Linked DNA regions of Bombyx mori. The protein of the gene in region 1 binds, or shares a complex with, the protein of each later gene. Links are inferred from orthologs where the notes say so. Each region holds a gene or a part of one and is shown on either strand. Other genes may lie near its edges.

Region 1 (3,827 bases):
AACTCACTCACTGAGACACACACTAACTAACTCACTGACACACACACTAACTAACTCACTGACACACACACTAACTCACTCACTGAGACACACACTAACTCACTCACTGAGACACACACTAACTCACTCACTCACATTTCGTTTGAGGACACTAATTAGCTACATTTATAGAGTTGTCTTCGATTAAGAAATATAAATGGGTTACTTTTAATTTCGAAACGAATAACACTATAGAGCCCGAAACCTCTCCCGGTAACTAATAATTAGAGAAACACCACGATCCTGGCTCGTGCCGCGACACAAGCCAGGACCGCGGGCCGCTCGTGTGCAGACAAACAAACGCCAGTTCTTCTTACCTTTTTATGTTTTCGTTCTGATGGTCCCCCGCCGCTCGCGCGCACAACACATCAACAACAAAGAAACCGTATAGGGAGCGTGTCCGACGCAGGTCGATATATAGACGGCAAGATTACACATTCGCTTCAGCACGAGGGGGCGCGGACCCCCGGTGGGACAACAAGAGTGTCAGTGCGCGGAGAGTGATCGCACAATACGATTAACATCATGACATCTAATTATCATTAGAGATGAAACGAATAAACGATAATTATCAGGTATCCGGCCATGTTGTCACTATCCGGCCGGATACCGGATAGTAAATCAGTACAACATAAAGATGCAAATTGAGACACAGCATCCAGCGCGTAATTAAGAGCCGGACAGACTCTAGCACTGATTTAGTTCCGAGTGTTTCTACAAGTCACAACTCGGATGGGACACATACGCACGCGTACGACTCACCTCTCCCTTCTCTTTCTTCTTCTTCTCCTTATCGCGTTCTTTGTCTTTTTTCTCTTTCTTACTAACACCTGATGAATTAAACAGACGTTTAGTATCGCAATTACTTTACAACAAAGCATTTTTTATTGCTTAGATGGGTGAACGAGCTCACAGCCCATCTGGTGTTAAGTGGTTACCGGAGCCCATAGACATCTACAACGTAAATGCCGCCACCCACCTTGAGGTAAAAGTTCTAAGGTCTCAGTATAATTATAACGGCTGCCCCACCCTTCAAACCGAAACGCATTACTGCTTCACGGCAGAAATAGGCAGGGCGGTGGTACCTACCCGCGCGGACTCACAAAAGGTCCTATCGCCAGTAAACGCAAGGGGGGGCGGCGTGTCGGGGCGATCCCCCTAGTGGTCCCCGTGTAGCTGTACTGACCCTTGTCTTTCCCGTCCTTTTCTTTCTTCCTCTCCTCCTTGACGAGCTTGCAGTACTCCCGGAAGTAGTCCTCGCGCAGGCCGCTGGTCTCCACGGCCTTGTACCGCGCCTCCGAGTCCAGCTTCTTCTTGACATCGACCCACCTGGCGTGGCGGTCCACCGACTTCTCTTTGAGCAGCGCTATGAATTCCAGTTTAGCCTATAACGGAAAGAGATCGGTCAGCAGCGGGCGGCGGTCGGCGCGTGGGGGAGACGAGGGTCGGGGCTGGGGGGCGGGCGGGGGCGGAGGCCGGGGCGGGGGCGGAGGCCGGGGCGCGGAGGGGGGACAGGCACATTTTAATTATTTATTTATTTACGCCGAAGTGGGACAATTCAAATGATATTTTTCACAAGTTTCAATATAGCCATATTTATCTAAAGAGATTATACAAATTGAATAAGACAGACCAGTTCCAAGTGGCGGTGGCCGGGCGGCGACGGATCCCGGCTTTGGACGTCAATTTTTAAAAGATTTCAATAAAAGGTAGAGGTTCTCAGTTCATCTATATTCTCCTTGGTTTGTTCTAGGTGATATTGAGAATACCTTTTGATACGGGAGCTGCCCCCCCCTCGTGGGGTCCGGTCGGGAGCTCAATATTAAATATCAATTTTATTGACTATCTACTTTTTTGTTTTAATGTTGTATTACATTTAATTCGTTCGCATACTTATATATCGAAACATTATATTAGATCGCCTGTAACTTTAAATGCTCAACATTAAAACACGGGTCCTGAGTCGACCTCTGGGCGCGGCGGGGTCTAGCGTGCGTATTACTATAAGTTTATCTCGAAATGTCATAAACTAATTTCAAACAATTTCTTATAGTTCAAAACGAAACATGATTGTACAAATAAACAAGAGGGAGAGTTGGTATAAGGAGGGGGTGGGTTCAACAATTCGCATAGCAGTCCGGGCCCCCCGCCCCCCGCCCCCCGCCAGCCGCGAGCAAACGTCGCTTATAAACGATACGAGCAACCGCCTGCAAGAGAACTCATCATTAGGGTTAGAAGCTGAAAATGTAAAGATAAACATTATGGAACCTGCAATGTACAATATGTCATTAGAACCTGCAAGAAAACGTTATTAGGTGGCGTCGGTGCGGACGGAGGGGACGCCCCCCTCTCGCCCCCCTGCATCACTAATGAAATCAGTTTCACAGATATGTTCATTTGTCTGCTGTGACGCACAGGCAGGGTGGAGCCAGTACTGACAGTACACTTTGAGGTCGATAGCCTGTCCCCCCGCTTGACCCCCCTATAAGATGACATGTTGATAAGTGGGGGGCTGGGCGGGGGGACAACATGCGCGTTGTCTATGGGCCCTGACGGCCCCCGTGCTCGCTCATACGGACCATCCCTTCATTTAATATTCATTACTTTTCTTTAACGAACTCTGCAAAACTTACTTCATTGTTGTATTATAATTATAGTACTCTTTCAACGATTTTACAATTTAAATAATTTACTGTTCTTCTTTCTAATTATTATTAACTATTCTTAATAATTTATTCTTTCTGTATCTTTCAATTTTCTTTAAACATTTAAGAACAATGATGTCCTGAAGGGACTCTACTTTTAATTCAAAATATATATTATATCTTATAAAATAATGTTCAAGTCCAAAAAGAAGCTATTTGGTCCACAAGAAGAGTCCCACTGCTGGACAACAGGTCGGTAACACTACATCATAATATGTCATTAAATCTCAAAAATTTACAGAATCTTAGTAATTAATATTATTTAACTTCTCGATGGACTGTTTAAAATAAGCTGAAAAGTAAAAATCGTGATTAGTAATATCTATTAAGTATGATTAGACAAGATAACTACTGTGGTTCCAAAAAAAAATAATTTATAATTGGTAACCCGTCACCACTTTCCTTGTTTAAATAATTCTACCATCCCGGTAGGTTCCCAAGTTACACTGGCAACCGAGATCATGCTCAACCACACTATAGAGGGGAAGGAGATTTTATATAATTAAAAAAGATTTCTCGGTCCAAATTAAAGAAAAACCCATTTGTAACTTTACTTGTAGAAATCATCTGGTGATCTTCTAAATAAAAAGACAAAGACATTAAATGAATGATTTCACGGACAATTAATTACAAGCGAGTGGTTCTTGGAGTCGGGCGCGCCGCCGCTCGGCGCTAATTGTTCTTCTTAAAATATTTTCTAACCTTAGGGAGGCTCGTCGGTAAGGCGTCATCGTTTGACGATACATTTATCTAACATTGTTTAGTTCCGTTACGTTCCTGGCCTGTCCTGTAATACGACCGTCTGTTAGAAGCGGGACTTCGGAAGCGACGTCGCCTCGGGAGGTAAGTGCGAGCTACCGACCCGCCGCCGCCGCACGGAGCGGCTGTGTCCGCGACCTGCCCGCGCGCCCTCTACCGGGACTACTAAACCTCACACTAACTAGGCGCGCCGCGGGCACCGTCGCGACCCACATCCGCTCGCGTCGCTATAAAAATCATTTGTCAATAGTAATGATAATATATATATATAAATATAGAGATATATAAAACAGACAAATTATTCAGAGATAACAAATCAATGGC
Region 2 (4,271 bases), on another chromosome or scaffold:
CGAACGTTAATCGACGATAACACCCTCAAACTACAATACAGGTGCATCATGGGGTGCTAGAGAAATATGGCACTTTATAATATATATTTGTCAACATAAAATTACTTAACGCTTATTCTTCCTTTTAAAATGACTTCAAAATATCCAACCAAATTCCTTTGATTCTATAAACTATTTGGCAAACATTAGTGCCATATTTTGACTTTTGCACCATCAAACTAGGGTGAAGGGTGATCATGATGTGCAGCTTTATGTATTGTGGATATTTCTAACGTCTGCTTAACTTACAACACAAGTCATACTTAGTCTTAGTAATGTAAAAAATGTTTCTAATTTCGAATCTAAATGTATTTCAATCTCAATCATTAAAATTTAAAACAGCACTAAGTTTAAAATTATTACTAGGAATTATTAATAACGCAATATTATAAAACAAACTATGTACTACTTACTATACTATATAATATGTTGAAACTGAATTAGGAAAATAATACTATTTGTATATAGAGTTCCTAATTCTAAGAGTTAAAGTAACTTTTTGTTATTAACTGAGAAATTTGGTCACTAGAGCCAACACTTCACTCGATTGTCAACCAGAGCCAGGCACCAGACTACAATGTGATCATTCGTGTTGTAGTCTGGTGCAGGCCTAGTGTTATAAAATTGACATCCCTGTTGGTATAGCTCTATGACTACTGTTCTTCTGGCCTTCTAATATAACAATTCCCTTGGTCTTCACGTTTGTCGATCTCGAACAATCAAATATATCTTCAGGATTCCGTCGTCGCTTCGCAAACCGGCGGCGTCCATGATTGTACTGCAGTTGCAATCGAACCCTGCGCGTCGTCCGTCCGTGGACAAACTTCTGCAGCATGAATTCTTCTCATCGGGGATTTTGCCAGCCGGGCTGCCCGTCTCTTGCCTCACCACAGCGCCGCGCACTGACCAGCTCGAGGGCATGCTGGTACACCGCCGCCCTCTTAACGAAGTTCATGCTAACGGTGCATATATTGTAATTTATTTAATCGCAGGCTAGACTTCGAGACTTTCTCCCTCATAAATTGATGAGGGAGAGTTCAATAATAATTAAAGAAATTATAGTTTTAAATGGTAAAATATCATCGCAGTTACGATGAACACTAAAGAATATGTCGGATATGCGCGGATCTTTATTAATGACCCGACAGACTTCGTAGTGCCTCAATCGATAAATAAAAAAAAGACCTAAACTTTTGCATAAAATAAACTTAAAACAAACAAAAGGAATCCGTTTGACGGGGTACACATCAAAGAAAAACAAAATTGTTATTTTTATTCAATTCTGAGCATTTTCATATTTAAACCTTCTCTGGACTTCCACAAATAATTCTAGACCAAAATTAGCCAAATCGGTCAAGCCGTTCTCGAGTTTTAGCGAGACTAACGAACAGCAATTCATTTTTATATATATAGATAGATAGATAGAAGATTCATTAAGGAGCACTTATGCACATCAAAATCTTCATAGAATCAAAAAAGCAGCATTTTTCTCCTTTTATAATTAGCTACTTTAAAATTCAACATAAATGAATTGACATTTATAATACGTACTTTCAATTGAATAGAACAAGAGACGATGGCAGTGGACTCGCCCGTCAAACGCGAAGCTACCCCCGCGGGGCCACGAGCTGTGGAACCAACGTCGCACCGCCAGAATTTTATTGCACTGCGAGACCAGCTCGCTGCATTGTTGGTTAACAAGGTAAAATATAGTTTTTTTTTATATTAATACTAGCGACCCGCCTTCGCTTCGCTTCGGAAACATTAAATTTTATTATTAATTAATAGCTGAGTCTCGCGATGTTACCCGCGGTTATTGTCGTACCGCGAGTGAGGCCGCGGGGCGAAGCTAGTCTTAAAAAAGTAGCCTAAGTTACTCCTTATATCATCAGCTACCTATCAGTGAAAGTCTCGTCAAAATGGTCTAGCCGTTCCAGAGATTAGCCGGAACAAACAGACCGACAAAAATTGTTAAAAATGTTATTTTGGTATATGTACCGTATATATATTCATATTATGCGCTTAGTAAAAAGCGGTTATTTCAATATTACAAATAGACACTCCAATTTTATTTATATGTATAGATGAGAAAAAATACCTATGGTCTAAATAACATTTAATAGGCTCTAGTTTTGAAATAGGGCAGGACCGTGCTATGAACTGGTATACGCTGATAACCTTATCATAAGTAGAAATAAATTGATAAACTCTTCATCTTATGGAACTTTTGTAACTTAATTATAAACAACTAGTTTGACTGTATGTTGGCATTTTCTATAACTTTTAGCTGAAATGCCGACCGGAGGCTCTGACAGACGAGCTGAGCGATCCCGCAGCACAGCCGCTGGTGTGGGTTGGCAAGTGGGTCGACTACAGCGACAAATACGGATTCGGATACCAGCTCTGCGACGAGAGCGTCGGTGTCATGTTCAACGATACTACCAAGCTTATCATGCTCGCTAATGGACTGTAAGTTTACGTTTAATATAAATATTAGATGATAATATCAGATATACATATTTTTAATTATATTATATTATAGTAGTATACAACAGGCGCTTGCAACAGTTTCGAACTCACTAAAATTCGAAATCACGTTCGAATCACTAAAGCTTAAAATAGTTTTTTTTTTTATATCTTTATAATGAGAATCAAAGTATAATATGTCATAAAACGAATGCATTGCACACTCAAAATTAGAATCAAATCATAGCTCACACAAACTTTAAACATATTTTGAAGAAAAAAAATTCGCAATACACTTTTTTATACAAGTGATAAGAATCCATAGACATCATAATATGTTAATAGCATATTCCTTGCGGCGTGATTCTCAATTGTTTTGTATTATGACTGTAATGTGCAGATTAGCAAGCAACAAAATCTTCATATTGCTATCTGAAAAAATAAAAGGAGATCTGCATAAACTATCCTTTTTCAGGAATGTGCACTACATCAATCGGCAGGGCCAAGAGCAGTACATGACGATGCGCGATTACCCGCAAGAACTCGACAAAAAAATGAAACTCCTTACATACTTTAGACGATACATGACCGAACATCTCATGAAAGCTGGTAAATTTTTCAACATCCATTGTCATCACTAAAGCATATAAATCAAATAGAATATTCAGAAAACAAAATGTGTGAGCAATAGTTTTCTTATGGCATGAGTAACTAATGTATTCATACTTAACAACAATGTTATCGCTTTTAAATAAATTTACCATTATCCAGGTGCTTCAGTACCAGTGCGAGAGAGTGATGGTCTGTCTCGTTTGCCACATTTACACCAGTGGTTTCGAACAACTTTAGCTGTTATTATGTACCTGACTAATGGAACTTTACAGGTTAGTAGAATTATATTTTAATGCTGTTGGCATATAATTTTTATTGATCTGTTATATTTCTTTCTCATCATGATTGTTTTTTTTTTCTAATATTACAGATAAACTTCCAAGATCACACAAAGATAATACTGTGTCCACTTATGCAAGCTGTCACCTACATAGATATAGAGAAGAATTTCAGAACATTCCGCTTTAATACCATTGAAGAGCATGGCTGTGATAAAAAGCTTTACACAAACCTCACATATGCATTGGAAAAACTAAACAGTGTATTGGCAAACAAACTGTGCTAGTTTTCACTGAACCTAAATGAGTAAATGAATTTGTGGGCTTTGTGGAAAGCTCCAATGAAGAACTGTGTAAACCAAGAGACCCTGCTTATGTAAATAGCAAAAAAGTTTGAAATCACTACAAATTTTCATCATTCTGTTCTTATTGATTGAGATAGTCTGTACTTGATAAAAAAAATCTTTACACTTAAATTTCCTAGGGTCTCCTACTTTTCTAAAATAAAAATTATATTACCTTTTGTATTTTTAGGATAGTCACCAGTATATTATAATTTAATAGAAGGGTCACTAAAATCAATTTTGTACCCTAAAATTTCAAACTTAGGTTAAAAATCCACCGATACTGTCTATTTATTTAGTAAATACTTTTTAATGATTTAGCATCAAATTATTTTGCCGATTCAGTATATGAGCAAAACTTTCGACTTTTTTTTTTATTCTTTAAATATGTGTCTTTGGTTGTTAATACATATTATATTCCATTTGATGCAAAACTTACTGACTTTGCCATTTCAGGGAATGATTTGATTTCTATCTACATATTTCTAAACATCTACAATAATTGATGGAAGAATAAATTTAATTTTAGATT

What was found.
Region 2: the proteins of transcription elongation regulator 1 (region 1) and serine/threonine-protein kinase polo are in contact, whole or in part, in a crystal structure (PDB 3Q1I), measured with the Homo sapiens proteins. The link is inferred for Bombyx mori from reciprocal best matches to the Homo sapiens genes TCERG1 and PLK1. Residues at the interface, in NP_006697.2 of Homo sapiens: Pro101, Pro102, Pro103, Met104, Ser105, Ser106, Met107; in NP_005021.2 of Homo sapiens: Lys413, Trp414, Val415, Asp416, Tyr485, His489, Leu490, Leu491, Arg516, Phe534, Phe535, His538, Lys540.

The regions. Positions count from the first base shown.
Region 1 is NC_085130.1:19,184,664-19,188,490, forward strand, and holds part of transcription elongation regulator 1, read right to left. Parts: intron 1,425-3,827; coding exon 1,226-1,424; intron 870-1,225; coding exon 802-869; intron 1-801. UniProt on the Homo sapiens protein: Transcription factor that binds RNA polymerase II and inhibits the elongation of transcripts from target promoters. Regulates transcription elongation in a TATA box-dependent manner.
Region 2 is NC_085121.1:12,624,932-12,629,202, forward strand, and holds the end of serine/threonine-protein kinase polo, read left to right. Parts: coding exon of another isoform or gene 1-41; intron 42-774; coding exon 775-1,001; intron 1,002-1,604; coding exon 1,605-1,741; intron 1,742-2,326; coding exon 2,327-2,508; intron 2,509-2,980; coding exon 2,981-3,114; intron 3,115-3,276; coding exon 3,277-3,389; intron 3,390-3,487; coding exon 3,488-3,682; downstream 3,683-4,271. UniProt on the Homo sapiens protein: Serine/threonine-protein kinase that performs several important functions throughout M phase of the cell cycle, including the regulation of centrosome maturation and spindle assembly, the removal of cohesins from chromosome arms, the inactivation of anaphase-promoting complex/cyclosome (APC/C) inhibitors, and the regulation of mitotic exit and cytokinesis.